Arabidopsis thaliana: one gene and its partner. The protein of the gene in region 1 interacts with the protein of each later gene in a pairwise test. Each region holds a gene or a part of one and is shown in the gene's direction. Other genes may lie near its edges.

Region 1 (8,144 bases):
TTTACCAAAATTTTACTTATTTAAACATTAATATATATAATTTATTTCAAGATATGGTTGTTTTGGGCTATAATGGTCTAGACTTGCAAGTTGGATTGGCTCAAAGCAGCTTTTGAATCTGTGATGATATAATTGTTAACAACCAAAGGCATTGACTGATACCAAACTATAGAAAGTACAAATAATCTCCTCATGGGAAATTCAGACACCAAAACCAGCTCTGGTTAAAAATTAACCGGTTGAACCAACAACCTGAGGCATTCCAGAGGAGCAAGAGTGACTATCAGAGCCTCTCTGTGTCTGTCTTGTATTGTAGGAACCACAGCTACTGCATTTATGCGCGATCAAATGAAACCGAACGTTCGTGTTTGAGCCGCAGTCATTGCAGAGAATCCATACCTGACTCAACACATCACATTTAAATCCAAATCAGAAAGTGTACATAACACAAACACACACACACACACGAGAATCAAATATCGAATTTAATTTTGGTTTACCATCTTGTTTTCATACATCTTTGGCATTGGGTATGCAGCAACCTGCAAAATTTTGAATGTAAGACTTAGTGAAACATAAGAGACTATACAAGGAGACCGAACATCAGATCAAGAAACCTCACCTCTTCATCAAGTTTCTTCCACAGATTAGACATGTCACATATGGATTTGGAGCATACAGGGCATGTGTATCTACACAAAGCATCAAGAATTTTTTTAATCTTTGTTTATCAATGACTTCATTCATGGGTTGCATAAAAGATTTGAGAGTTCTTTTACCGGTTATGTAGCCCCATATCTTTCGTGCATTCTAGATGCATAGTGTGACCACATCGTAGGACAGTGATATCTCTTGTTGAATCAAACAGATACTGAGAACAAATACATCCACATCAAGTTCAATTGTAAGAAACCATTATGTTGCATTAAGAAATGGGTGAATCTGATTCTTATACCTCAAAACAAACCGGGCAATTGTGATGCATAGCGCCTTCAACACATTGGTGTTTGTCCTCCATAATTTTGGAGTAGCAACATCCTGTTTTAAGAAAACAAAATAAGATCTCCAAACAAAGAAAGGCACGAGAATTTGTAGAAACAAGAACATGAGGTTTTGTCTCTTACGGCATCTTTTGCAATGGAAAAAGTTTTCTTCTCCTCCGGTCCTATTAAACCAACATCATGAGATAACATATCAATAATTAGTTACCAAAAATCAACAGATTCTTTTTTGAATAGGTAAGCAAAAATCACAATGCCAGTTTCTATACCTGCAAATCCCACACTCATCACAGTGATATTGCTTCTTGGAAAGCTGAAACAACCAATATTAAGTCTCATTACTACTAATTCCAGCTATAGAAAGAGCAATAACTCAATTACAAAACTTACATCATCGTCGAAGAACTTGCATTTTGAACAGAAGTACTTCCCCATACATACACCACAATTGGAGCAGTTTTGCTGAACCTGAAGAAAACAAATTACAGGTCTCTTCTACATCAATAAACATATTTACCAATAGAATTTGTATATCTAAAATGTAGATACTCACGTCTTGTTCTGTCTCACAAAGCGAGCATATGACCTGAAAAAAAGTAGACCAAAATTGTTATCACAATGAATAAACAGAATCAAAATGTTCATAAACCAGAATGTTCAAAGTTAAAAACCTTTGAAACTTCATGTCGAGGAAGCTCATGTCTATGATGCTGTTCAATATGAAGAGAATCCTGTTGAAACAAACAAAACACATTAACATCTATAACCAAAACTTGTTCTTCACAAAAACACACACACACACACAAGTTACAAAGACAGAGAAGTAAAAAGACTATTCCTTTAATATTAGTTTTCTACCTTAGCTTCGTTGTGGCAATGTCTGCAATCAAAAATCTCATCACAACATGGTGCTCTAATCTTGCATCGTCTTCTATAATGTGAACACCTAAACACACACACACAAGGATAATCAAATTCAAAAAAAAAAAAAAATGAAACTTTAGCTTCAAAACTCAAAAGAAACTCAAAAGATGTTATTTACCCGTAATGCCCAGATCCAATCTCCATTAGATTCGCAAATTCTTGATTTTGCTCATTTTCATGGAAACCCATATCCATACTTTACCTAAAGTTTTGATCTTTCTTACTTGGAATCAACACCAATCAGATATCAAAATTTGTTGAGAGTAACGAAAGAATAAAAGAAACGTAATTTGAAGAAATGTATTGACGACGTTTGGTAATCAGAAACAGAGGAAGTTGCAGAGATGAAAAAGCAATCATGTTGATGATATTTATTTATATGAAGATGAGTGATGACTCAGCAACACGCCAGATTTTTTATTTTGCCTAATCAACAAATCCCATACTCATTATTAAAAAGGTTTTAACGTTTTTGTTTTTTTTGCTAAATATAAATTTTCTTCTTAATAAACAGAAATATTTTTCCACTTGTTTATGGTTTACTCCTAATTGGAATTCATTAGCAGAATACATAATTTTAAATAATAAAAAATTACATAATAGTTAATTTTAAATAAAATACATAATAGTTAATTAGTCAGAGCCAAATTTCATCAACATTAATGAGAAAACTAGAGGTAAAAAAAATTGAAAATGAAAAGTGAAAAGAGATTCGTTGTCGGACTTTTGTTAAAAAAAATATCTTACTTGTAATTATGCATTAAAAAGAAAGTTATTTTTTTATATTCTATTAGAAAAAGTTTAATGTACTAAGTGAAAGTTAATAACATATGAAACACTCGGTTTAAGATTCAATTCAGTTGGCGACTTGGCGGGTCATTAAGAACAAATTTTTGTGGTGTGTGGGTCAATGTCAATATGTCATGTCTTGTTTTTAAAAAGCAGAAAACAGGATAGGATTGGATAATGGATATGTCCTCCAACTTGATGACTCAATTTTTTGGGTCCACTCTTTTATAAATTCTACTAAAACACACTATGGAATACTTTTTTTTTTTTTTGAAGTTTGATATTAGTAGTGTTAAAGTTGTGGGCTAAGTTCTTGAGTTAGATTAGTAGGTAGTGTCAACTCAATATTTGATCTTCAATGGGCTTAGATTGGGCTTATCTTTTGGGTTTGTTATAAAATAAGTATTTGGTAAAATGGGTTAGTTTCTTTTTCTTTTTTTGGTCAACCAAAATGGTCAAGTTTTAGGAAAGGATTAGAGTGCCTAAGTATCATCATTTATTTGTTGATAAGTTTGACCAAAACGTAACAAAATTATTTCGCAACCAAAAAGTACTAGTCAAAGGGGGGCGCCAACTATTTGATAAACAACAGCAACTGTTTTTTTTTTAAAACAAACCGTTACGTTGTTGAATATTTTGACGTTAAGAATAAATTATCAGCGAAAAAAAACGAAATCGATCTTTTACAAGTTTGACAAAAGCATATCTTCGTCATCATCATGACCGATTCTCAAGCACTAGTTCCTGGGCCTTCACCGCCTCATAGCAAAGCTGAAATTTGTTACGGAGCTACTTTTTTCAACATCTCTTCTTATGGAATCATGGAAAAATATGAAACTCCTACTGTTATCTTCGGATATGCATTGCCTCTCCTTGAGCTGCAGATCATTCTCATCTTCGTTTGCATCGTCTTATCTCATATGTTCCTCAGACGTATTGGCATACCACGGTTCGTCTCCAACATACTTGTAAGTTAAGAAAAACGTCCACAACTGTCAATTTCTTGTATCGCAAGTACCAAACGCTTGGTTTCTTGTACTGCAAGTAACAATTTTTTTTTTTTTTTGAACTAGGCTGGTTTGATTCTTGGACCTCAGCTGCTTGATCTTCTGGAGTATTCATCGGACCGATTATCGTTAGACATCCCCGGAAACGTAGCGTTGGAAGGTGTGGCCAGGCTTGGGTTGGTAATGTTCACGTTCTTAATGGGCGTGAAGACCAACAAGAGAGCGGTGTATCAAATCGGTAAACGTCCGATAGTAATCGCGGTTTCGTCCTTTTTCGTGACTATGATCAGCGGGTTAGCCTTCAGAAACTTCCGTCTCGACAAGGTCGACCCTCTTTATATGCCTCTGAGGCTAGCCCCAACAGAACGCTCCGTGATTGTATCGATTCAAGCAGTAACGCTGTTACCGGTCATAACCCACCTCGTATATGAGCTGAAGATGTCAAACTCCGAGCTCGGCCGCATCGCCATATCTACAGCCGCCGTCAGCGATTTCCTTGGATTTCTCACTCTAGTATGCATCTCCTACGTTGGAACATACAGGTATGTAAGACGTCGATTAATTTAGGAATCTAATTGGTGCATTTGCATACAAAACTACTTACCTCATTAAATATACTTTTGTAGTAATCAAAGTCTACAAATCCGGAGACCTAAAGCAATATATATAATGCTCTAAAACTGGTTAAAAGTTTGATCAACGAAAAGTTACCGTTTTATTGTCTATAAAGCAATACTAATTGTTATCTACACAATAGACGGCACCGGAGTGTTTGATTAGTAATGTATATCTACTATCTAACGAACATTATTTGCTATAATAGTTTGAAACGGTCTGCAGGTATGTATCGCCCGGAATAGCCAACCGCGACATAGTGGCATTGATCATCTTAGTCCTTGTGATCCTATTCATCTTCAAGCCAATGGCACAACGAATAGTGGACATGACCCCAGAAGGCAAGCCCGTACCGAAAGTCTACTTATACGTAACAATCCTGACCGCAATCGCCGCGAGTATATACTTAAGTGTTTTCAACCAAATGTACATTCTAGGAGCTTTATTGGTGGGGTTGGCAATCCCAGACGGTCCGCCTCTGGGATCTGCGTTAGAGGCAAGGTTCGAGAGCTTGGTTACAAACATATTTTTCCCTATTTCAATCGCGGTCATGGCGATGAAAGCTGACGTTGTAAGAGCATTGTATTCGTTCGATGACATTTCCTTTAACATACTTCTACTGGGTCTTACAGTGGTAGTGAAATGGACTGCCTCTTTTGTACCTTGCTTGATCTTCTGCGAGTTACCTACTAGAGAATCCGTTATCATCGCCACTATCATGAACTATAAGGGTTTTGTTGACTTATGCTTCTTCGATGTCGCCTTAAGAAGAAGGGTAAAATAATCTTCATCTAACCTACACTCTACATGTATATATATTGCATCATATGGTTTTGAATTAATGGTTGAATGTTTTTTGTTTTCTTTAACAGAATTTGTCGCGAGCAACGTACACGGTCATGATTATTTACGTGCTATTGAACGCGGGGATTTTGCCTACGATTATAAAAGCACTATATGATCCAAAGAGGAAGTATATTGGATATGTCAAGAGAGACATTATGCATCTTAAAACAAACTCAGATCTCAAGATTCTAACTTGTTTGCACAAGCCTGACAACATCTCAGGTGCGATCTCGCTACTTGAATTGCTTTCCTCGCCGCTAAACAACGATAACAAAGACAGAGGAGTCATTGCTGTCACGGCGTTACACCTAGTGAAACTCGCAGGACGTACGTTTCCCATCTTGATACCTCATGACAAGCGGTCTAAAGCGCGGTTGCTTCAAAACTCTTACATACAAACAATGATGCTCGCGTTCACCGAGTTTCAACAAGAGAATTGGGAATCTACCACTGTTAGTTCCTTCACAGCTTATTCTCATGAGAACCTAATGGATCAAGACATTTGCAATCTTGCTTTAGACCACCTCACATCGATGATCATTGTCCCTTCGGGACGAAAATGGTCACCCGATGGAGAATATGAATCAGACGATATTATGATCAGACGTGTTAATGAATCTCTCCTTGACCTCGCTCCATGTTCTGTCGGCATACTTAACTACCGAGGATATAATAAAGGTAAGAAAAAGACCAACAGTATCATTAACGTTGGTGTGATCTTCATTGGTGGTAAAGATGATCGTGAGGCGCTTTCCCTTGCGAAATGGATGGGACAGAACTCGAGAGTGTGTCTTACTGTTATCAGATTTTTGTCTGGTCAAGAACTAGATAAGTCCAAGAATTGGGATTACCTTGTTGACGACGAGGTCTTGAATGATTTGAAAGCGACATATTCATTGGCCAACAATTTTAACTATATGGAGAAGGTAGTCAACGGTGGACCTGCGGTGGCCACCACCGTTAGATTGGTGGCGGAAGACCATGATTTGATGATTGTAGGAAGAGATCACGAAGATTATTCGCTGGACTTAACAGGGTTGGCACAGTGGATGGAGCTTCCGGAGTTAGGAGTCATCGGAGATTTGCTTGCATCCAAAGATTTAAGAGCTAGGGTTTCTGTTTTAGTAGTTCAACAACAACAACAACATGGATGAGTGTAACATATGTCAGTGAATGATCTCAAAAAAAAAAATTGAATTATACTCGCATCATGGGTAAATGTTAGAATTTACATTTGACGTGGAAATAGATTTAATATAATTGATCTAAACAACATTGGTTAATCCATTCATTACCAAATTGTTTTTGAGTAAGAAACTCATGCATATATTGTTCCTAAAATAGTATATATCAAATCAATAATCCGGTATTTTTGAGAGATGAGTTGTTCTGCTCTAACATAGTATACAAAGATGAGTTTGACGCAGTTGGAATACATTGATAAGCCAGTTAATTATTGATTTATCTAAATTTAGTGTTCATTAAAATTGTATTTTAAATGTATGCAAATAATCCATTTCGTACTACTTAGCACAGTTAATTTGCACAGAATTATTCCAAATATCTAAATCTTGGCGCTTTGTTGAAGCAAACACTACTGCTAAAAAATTAAAAAATTAAAAAAATAATAATAATAATAATAAATAAATAACAAAATTGAAAATTTCACCTGAGCTTTAATGAAAAAAAATACGAGTAATGTGCACAATGTAGTTCTATAACCACTCCTATGAATATCCAATGATTTCTAAAACACAGATTATGTAAGAGAAAAATTCAAACGTGAGATATCTCCATTGTTCATCCGAGCTCAAGCACAACAAAGGTTTCAGTGAAACTGATCGAAAAATAAGTGAAAATGTCTTGTATTTTACTTCGATTTCTTACATTGTTCAACATGAAATTTCAAACTATTTTAACCTAAATAAATATGTTCGATCTTGACCAGTTTCTCTATTTCCCTCTATGTTGTTTTAGTGTTAATATAAACATGATTTTCTATAAATATAAAGATTAATATAGTTGTTGATCGCAAAACCTTATGCGATTATATTTGTGATGAACTGATCGGCTAAGTGGATTTTCCAAAAAGTTACATTTGAATGGTCTAAATAAAATTTACAAAAAAAATATTCTTCTTACAATTAAATTTCTAAGTCTATAATGAAAAGAATGGTAAAATTGCAAAATGATTATGTACGTATATAAGAACCTAAATCATTAGCTGTTGTTGTTGTATAACCAAAACAGAAGCTTGGCAATTAAAATCCTGTGAAGTCAATAAATCTCCAATAATACCAAGCTCCTTAAACTCACTCCATTCCTCAAGCCCTTCTGTGAACACACTCGTCCTTCCGTTCCCTCTTCCCACTATGAACATATCGAAATCGCTTACCATCGATCTTAGCAAACTCGATGTTTCAGCCGCGTCTTCAATCGCTTTCTCCGAGTAGAAAATGTCTACTAATGTATTGCTTTTCACGTCTCTAAGAAGTTCATCGTCAAGCATTTTATCCCACACCGTGTTCTCTCGTGCTTTCTCATCGGTAGTGATCAGTCGAACAATGGTTATATTGATCCTTGGGTCACGGGCCATTCGTGTAGCAAGTGTCACTGCTTCTCTATCGTCTTTACCGCCTAGGAAGATCATACAAATATTGTAAGATGATAAGTTTGGAACTGTGCCATTGATGGTTTTCCGTCCGGAACTGATGTTTTTCCGTCCGGAACTGCTTCGGTATACAAAGACTCCGACAGAACAAGGTGCCACGTCGAGAACGCTCTTGTTAAGGTTCCGGATCATGTTATTGTTAGAGATAAGAGCTGATCCGTCAGCAGACCAAGTCTGGTGAAAAGGAAGGAGTATGAGAGAAGTAGTGTTGTTGAGAGCAAGCATACATATATCTCCGTGCATCGTATCGGGCATAGATAAAGCCGTGTAGGTGCTTACGAAGACCGAACC
Region 2 (7,918 bases), on another chromosome or scaffold:
CTGATTCAAGTCTAAAATAGATTAAAAAGGTTTCTAGTTTATGAAAGTTTTTATGGTTAAGTTAGAGTTAGTGGCGAGTTTAAATCAGTGTTTTATGATACAAGCAATAATGTAAAATTAAATGGAGATGAGAGATAGAGTAACAACCACTATATCTTTTTCTAACAAGGACTTCACAAACTAGCTTTTATGTAAATCCACCCATCTATGATGCCAATTTAAAGTAAGAGTGTTTCTTAATTTAACTACCTTTCTTTCAAAACTCACTCATTTTCTTTTTCTTTCATAATTATTGAAACTAATTTTTTCAGCATATTAAATTTGCTGAACAATGATAAAACAATATGAACGAATGATTTTAGTATTTAACTTTCGTCCTCATGTAGCCATGTTGTTATTTTCAAACCATAAAGAGGACTTAAGAGTCGTCAGATAAAACAATGATATTTTCGTATTCGTCGATGCACTAATAACCAACTCGATTGGACAACATATCTTACTTCATTCACGATTTTGATGATTTCACCGAACAATTTTTTCTTTCTTTCTCTTTTGTCTTTTAATTATGTCATTTTCTTACTGGATATGTTCACTGGTCGAGTTGGGTCTTGGCCTAACACATAAGATATATTTATGATAGACATATCTTTTTTTTTTATCTTTTTTTGAGTTCAAAGTAGACTTACATATGTCAAAATCCGAGACTCCCCTAACTCATGAAAAAAGTGAGACGAATTCAACTACTTTGCCGAATTTACCTGTCTTAGAAAATCAATCAAACCCTTGAGTTGTTTGCTTGATCATACCTTCTCTTCTCCTTGTCACTTTCACTCAATACAATTGACACAAATCATCACTCGGGAATCAAGACCCAACACTTTTGTCTTGGTTGTCAGGGGCTGGGTTAAATACTACTAGGCCCAGTATCAGCCCACGTAATGTTCTTCTTTACTGTTTTGTCTATGCTCTAGTTTTTGTTTATACATTTTCTTTGTATTCCTCATTCTCCTAACAACCCTATTGCCTGCCTATTGGTATCAGAATAGACCACCACTGCACGAGAAAAAACCTAAACTTGATCGCGAGGAAAAAATTGTGTAACTAAAGTGGTCGTGGAGCGGTGGAGGTAAAACATTACTACATAGTACTGTTACAAAACAATATCTTGTAATAATTAAAATAAAAGATAAAGTAGTAAAAATATTATTTTTTTGTCACATCATTACAATTTTCCTAATTTATGTTTAGACCATTGCTGTTTGGCATACTAAAGGTATAAGAAAGACACGCCACAGAGATCCAGTGGTATACAATTTTTATGCTTTGGAATCAACTTATTTGCTACAATGACAAACTACCAAAGTTTATTTAATTACTTTACAAAAAGAATTATTTGGATAATCCAAAATCAAAGAGGGGAAAGTTGGATTTACATTTCCGATTAACATTTTAACGTAAAAAGGAAAAATGTGAAACATAAAGTGGGCAACTGGACATTCACGGCAACAGATCAAAAACCCTTTTTTAAATCAACTACTTAGTAAAAGAGGAATAAATTAACAGATTATCACACACACTGATTGATAAATTAGGAGCAAATTGGTTTTAACAATTCAAAAGAAATAAACAAAGCACTAAGTTAGTTTTGGTGCTGACGAGAGTGGACGGCAAAAAAAACAGAAGATCACTATTAAGAAAGTTAAAGTTAATAGTGCAAAATATTAATGTAGGGAAAAAAATGACTACAATAATGTTCAAAGTTAAAATAAAGGACATTTTGTTGGCAAGAAGAAAAACATTAGAAACAAAAACAGAACAAGGCAAAGCTGCAAAGTCAAGTTGAGTCGGTGAAAGAGAACAACAACCAACCTTTACCCCACTGCCATCCTCCCTAGTTTTGAACATGTGCACTTTCTTCGTTATTTACCATCACTTTTGTGTTGTCATATTCATCTTCTTCTATTCAGAGAAGACATTTAGCCAAAATTTATGTAATTTCCGAGATTAAGAACTGGTTTTCCTTTGTTTGTCACTTCAAACCAGTGATCAACAATGAAAACAGTAAATGTTACAGTGGTCTATACCAAGATTCTAAAAGTTGAAAAGTGGAAGAGGGCATGCTAATTTGAATGAATACCCAATATTTAAGATTCTAGAAGCTCCTTTTTATCTATATATATCAACTAAATAGTCGGCATGAAGCTCTCAAATACTTGGTCCACCTATTTATAGAGTACACAACTTTTTTGGAAACAGCTAATTGGAAAACTCTGTATTATTTAGGGTTTGGTACTAGTTCCTTTTGTTGTGCAACTATCAATAAATAACATATACCTTCTATTGATAAATCCAAATCCAAACTCTAAAGTGAGTCGCTGAAAATGAAAGTAGTAAAATTTTGTGGCCTCTCATCTCACTGTATTCATATTTCGTTTGTTGAGTGCCGACTCTACTATCCACCTATTATGAGATTCTTATGTTAAAACTTACAAAATATATTTACCTAGATTTTGTCTTTGTCCATACTCTTCCATGTCTCGGGATCAGAACAAAACAACTAGTTTACGTGCTTTTTTGGAAGGTCTTATAGTAGTAATACCAACAGAGCTACAGATAATGGATTAAATACATGTAACCAACAAATGTTATATTACTTTTATAAAATAATTATAAATCAATGAAAAAAATTCCTTATGAATCGCTAAATTTTCAAGAACTCAAAACCTTATTCGGTTTTCATAATGAGCAATGATGAATACATGTTATACGTCGAATTATTATTTTGGATTCTCAAGCCGGCCCTTTGCTATCTTATTTTCTCCTTTACAACATTTTTTAACCCCATTGTCAAAGAGTCGGCTTTGAGCCCATGATTGTAATGAATGGATAGCTTGAATATTGCGACCACACTAATAATTCCCGTCAAATATTTGTTTAACTTAATGTATGACACATGTATTTTACGAGCAAATAAATTCAAAAAATTTAAGCATTAGCGAAAACATTGTTTCTCCGCTCCACAAGACACTAAAACATAAATAATGAATTAAATCAGTCATTCTACAGAAAATTAATCACCGTAGTCGGTTGCCATCATTCCAAAACCTTAAAAAAAACCCATGTAAAATGATCATTAACAACAACAACAACAACAACCAAACCAACAAAAATTAAAGTAAAAACAGAGTCCAAAGCCTCGTCACATCTGCCCATAAATACCCTTCACCGACTCACCATCTTACCACATCAATTCTCTCATATCTCTCTCTCACTTTCGAATATATCTTAAGATAACAGAGACACATACTCTTAAGTTTGGTGAAGAATAAGAAGACAATGACGAAGGAAGTGGTTGGTGATAAGAGATCTTTCTCCGGGAAAGACTATCAAGACCCACCACCTGAACCTCTATTCGACGCTACTGAGCTTGGGAAGTGGTCTTTCTACAGAGCTCTCATCGCTGAGTTCATAGCCACTCTCCTTTTCCTCTATGTCACTATTATGACTGTCATCGGTTACAAGAGCCAGACCGATCCAGCCCTGAATCCTGACCAGTGTACAGGCGTTGGCGTCCTTGGTATCGCATGGGCCTTTGGTGGCATGATCTTCATCCTCGTCTACTGCACCGCCGGCATCTCTGGTCTGATCTCTCTCTTTCTCTTTTTACATCGCTCATTTGTAATAAAATTCAAACGTAGTTTGGTTTGGTGTTAAAGCTCACATAAATGTTTTGGTTCAACGTATTTTAATGAAACAGGTGGGCATATTAATCCGGCAGTGACTTTTGGGCTGTTGTTGGCTCGGAAAGTGACGTTGGTGAGAGCAGTGATGTACATGGTGGCTCAGTGCCTCGGTGCCATTTGTGGTGTGGCTTTGGTCAAGGCCTTCCAGTCTGCTTACTTCACCCGCTACGGTGGTGGCGCAAATGGTCTCTCTGACGGTTACAGCATCGGCACCGGTGTTGCAGCCGAGATCATTGGTACATTCGTCTTAGTCTACACCGTCTTCTCTGCCACTGATCCCAAGAGGAGTGCGCGTGACTCTCACGTTCCTGTAAGCCTATTATTTTCCCCTTAAGATTATTTATTTTAAAAGAATGTGACATGATTATGTTACAACAGAGAGAGGTTTAGTCATGGTTAGATAATTTAGAAATTCATCGCATTAATGGAAACAGTAGCATACCCGTGTCCTATACGGCGCTCTACTTATCATAAAGATTTAGCCGTAGAAATTGTATGCTTGTTGACAATTTTGTTTTTACTAAAATCAAAATTTAAATTCGAAATTCATATTTAGAATCGAATTAAGAAAAAATAAAATAGACCGTACAATATATCACGGATATATTGCGACTGTAGCTTCTAGATTCGTCATTATAATAAAATGCATAAAGGACATCGATGATCTTAAACTTTTTTTTGTCTTTCATGTCTCTCTCCATAACATATGTCCTTTATTTGGACATGGTCCCAACTCCATTTGTAACCACGTATACTACTCCCAAACATAACTATATGAATATTATTCTGGACTGTACTATTTGTCTCGTGATTAGTAACATTTCATTATTTTTTGTTGTTGGTGGTGATGGTGTGGTGATTGAAGGTATTGGCTCCATTGCCAATTGGATTTGCAGTGTTCATCGTTCACTTAGCTACAATCCCAATCACGGGCACTGGTATCAACCCTGCAAGAAGTCTCGGAGCTGCAATCATCTACAACAAGGACAAAGCTTGGGACCATCATGTACGTTATACTATATCATATATTTTACTTCTTCGTTTTTGATATTACCAAGGTTTTCAATTTATTAGTGTTTTCTATAATTACTACAGTGGATATTCTGGGTGGGTCCGTTTGCTGGTGCAGCCATCGCAGCTTTCTACCATCAGTTTGTGTTGAGGGCTGGTGCGATTAAGGCGCTCGGGTCTTTCAGGAGCCAGCCTCACGTTTAACTTTGATATGCTCTTCCCTGAGTACATCAAAGAGAGAAAAAGAGAAGATAATAAGAGAGGCTTGTAATTTTATCTTGTGTAGACGGTTGGAGCCAAGTGACGTGTAGTACTAGTATCTAATTTCTAGCTTTGGTGAGGAGAGATATTTTGAAGTGTCGCTTGCGGGCCAACTTTGAATTGCTACTTCTATGATTAAATCTATGTCTCTACTCCTTGACTATTAAGATTGCTCTATTTATTAGTACTAAATATTCCTTATATATGATCAACGTAAGTCCCGAGTATTTCTTTAAATTACACATGAAAGTATAAATTTACATGTGAAAGTGGAATAGTGTGGTTCCACATCAATGAGATTATCAGATTACCTTCCAAGTTTCAATCGAACTATGTTGTGGTTCCTTGTAGTTTGGAAAGTAATCTCATTTGATGTTATTGGCATAGTGTAGTGAGTGGATTGGACGGTGATGGAAAAGACTCATCGAGAGGTCAAATAAAGTGGCCATCAACCTCTTCATAAAGAAAGCTTTTACAACTTTTGTGTTTCATGCGCATTTTTGAAACACATCATGACGAAAATAAGTTTAGTTTCGCAGAAATCTATGGAGAAATCTAATCTCTAGATTTCAAACTAGCATCATGTTCAAAAGTAAGGTTTTAGACCATCTTTATAAAAATTTTATAACTAACAAAATGATTTAAAATCTTTTATATAAGAGATTTTTGTTAGTTATAAGACATGTCTCTTAACATAAAAAAATTATTTTAAAAAATCATTAATAATAATATTTTTAATCATCTTTCATATGAAATACAAGAAATCATCATCATACACATTTTACTTTTCGTTTCCAGTATTACGAAAGATAATTTTTGTAACCAATTTCTTTTTTTTTTTTTCTTTTTTCTTTTCTTTTCTTTTTTAACCAAATTGTTATTATGCAGAATATATGTATAAACTATAAAGTACTGTGTGGAAGCTCTTTTGGCCCAATAATTGATCAGTAGTTCATTAATGCTTCTACATGAAGATGTATGAGGTTCGAGTCCCAACTACTGGAATTTATTAGGAAATTTGCAGATTGATGGAGGCAAGTGTGCAGGACATCTACAACGATATACAATTATATCCGTTTGCCAAAATTTCTACGCAAAGAAGATATTGAATGTGTCTATATGCTTTAATAAATTTAATTTGTAGTCACACTAATACAGTAAAACCACACCACAACACAATCAATCAACCAAAGCAATCATCTACAACTCCGATTACTTATTATTACGATGTAAATAACAAATGAAACCCAATGTTCATAAAACAAGGGATTTCTGGATTCACCTCGCAAGAATCGACGTTCTATGCAGAGGATGAATCTCGGAATGTTTTCAGAGAGAAAGGAATAACAACAACTTCAACGATAACATGAAAATGACGATGACACTTGATATTTATTAGCTTCAGCTCTACGCACACTTGATTTGAATCACAACCGTCCATTGATCTTCTAATCACAGCCGTCCACGTGGCCTTACTCAATATCCTGTATCAAATCCTCCCTCCTTAAGCAACCATGACCTCATGGTTGAATGTAGGATACTTCTGCAACAGGTCAAACAAGAACTCCCAAGTTGCCTCCGCCTCATCCTCATTCGTCCATTGAACCAGAACCTTTGTAGCTGCACGACCGTGGCGATTCACTAGCTTCCTCTTCAGAATACGCGCAGGTTCCTTAAGCAACACATCCAACAACACCGAAGGCAATTGCTTACCAACTGAAGACTCTCCCACCCACAACTTCAGTTGAGAAACATGGAAAACTGGATGAATGCGAGAAATGTCAGGCAGAGCTAGTTTGTAAGCCACCTTTCCACATGTATCCAGAATCTTATAAGGTCCATAATACTTAGGCGCCAGTTTCTGATTCGATCTCATCACCACAGAACCTTGACGATGGGGCTGAAGTTTCACAAAGACAAAGTCACCAATCTGAAAGCTTCTATCAGATCTCTTCTTGTTAGCAGACTGCAACATCCTGTGCTGAGCTCGTAAGAGATGAAACTTCAAAATCAATAACATCTTCTCCCGCTCTTGTAAGTTCTGAGCCACCACAGCCACTTTGGACTCGCCCGGAACATAAGGCAAATGCTGCGGAGGGGGTTGACCATAAACAGCTTCATAAGGTGACATGTTAGCTGAAGAATGAAAGCTTGTATTGTACCAAAACTCAGCGAGAGGCAACCATCTGCTCCACAAACCCGGTCTGTCACTAGTCATACATCGTAAATATGTCTCCAAACACCTATTCACCACCTCTGTCTGTCCATCACTTTGAGGGTGATATGCGCTTGAGTAATTGAGAGCCACACCCTGTAATGTGAACAATTCTCTCCAAAACTCACTTAAAAACACTGAATCCCTGTCACTGACAATAGAATTAGGCAACCCATGAAGCTTGAATATATTATCCATGAATGCTTGTGCTACTGTCAAGGCAGAATAAGGATGACTCAATGCAATGAAATGAGCAGCTTTAGTTAAACGATCAACCACCACCAAGATCACAGATTTCCCAAAAGAAATAGGCAGACCATCAATAAAATCCATAGATATGTCAGACCAAATCGCATTAGGAATAGGTAATGGCTGAAGCAAACCCGGAGATGCTGTAGTATCATACTTACACTGCTGGCACACAGAACAGCTCCGGATGTAAGCTTGAATATCTTTAGACATCCCCTTCCAATAAAACAGACTCTTCACACGCTGATGGGTAGCATCACGACCTGAGTGGCCCCCCACACCTGAACAATGTAACCATCCCAAAATAGAATCTTTCAAAGCTACAACATTTGGTACAACCAGCTTGTTCTTACGGTGCAACAACCCTTGTGACCAACTCATCTTCTTTATCGAATCTGCACTTCTCTGAAGAGCTTCAATCTGTTTCTGAACCACAGCA

The links.
Region 2: the proteins of CHX9 (region 1) and PIP2;5 interact in a protein complementation assay, tested with the Arabidopsis thaliana proteins (one large-scale study listed by BioGRID).

What each region holds. Positions count from the first base shown.
Region 1 is NC_003076.8:7,659,119-7,667,262, reverse strand, and holds CHX9 (cation/H+ exchanger 9), read left to right. Parts: upstream 1-3,433; coding exon 3,434-3,682; intron 3,683-3,787; coding exon 3,788-4,263; intron 4,264-4,561; coding exon 4,562-5,111; intron 5,112-5,208; coding exon 5,209-6,336; downstream 6,337-8,144. Other genes in the region: AT5G22920 (CHY-type/CTCHY-type/RING-type Zinc finger protein), read right to left, coding at 232-399, 501-542, 623-692, 780-871, 956-1,038, 1,125-1,165, 1,271-1,314, 1,392-1,469 and 4 more; CHX3 (cation/H+ exchanger 3), read right to left, coding at 7,395-8,144. UniProt on the Arabidopsis thaliana protein: May operate as a cation/H(+) antiporter.
Region 2 is NC_003074.8:20,298,781-20,306,698, forward strand, and holds PIP2;5 (plasma membrane intrinsic protein 2;5), read left to right. Parts: upstream 1-2,978; 5' UTR 2,979-3,336; coding exon 3,337-3,640; intron 3,641-3,757; coding exon 3,758-4,053; intron 4,054-4,608; coding exon 4,609-4,749; intron 4,750-4,838; coding exon 4,839-4,958; 3' UTR 4,959-5,529; downstream 5,530-7,918. UniProt on the Arabidopsis thaliana protein: Aquaporins facilitate the transport of water and small neutral solutes across cell membranes.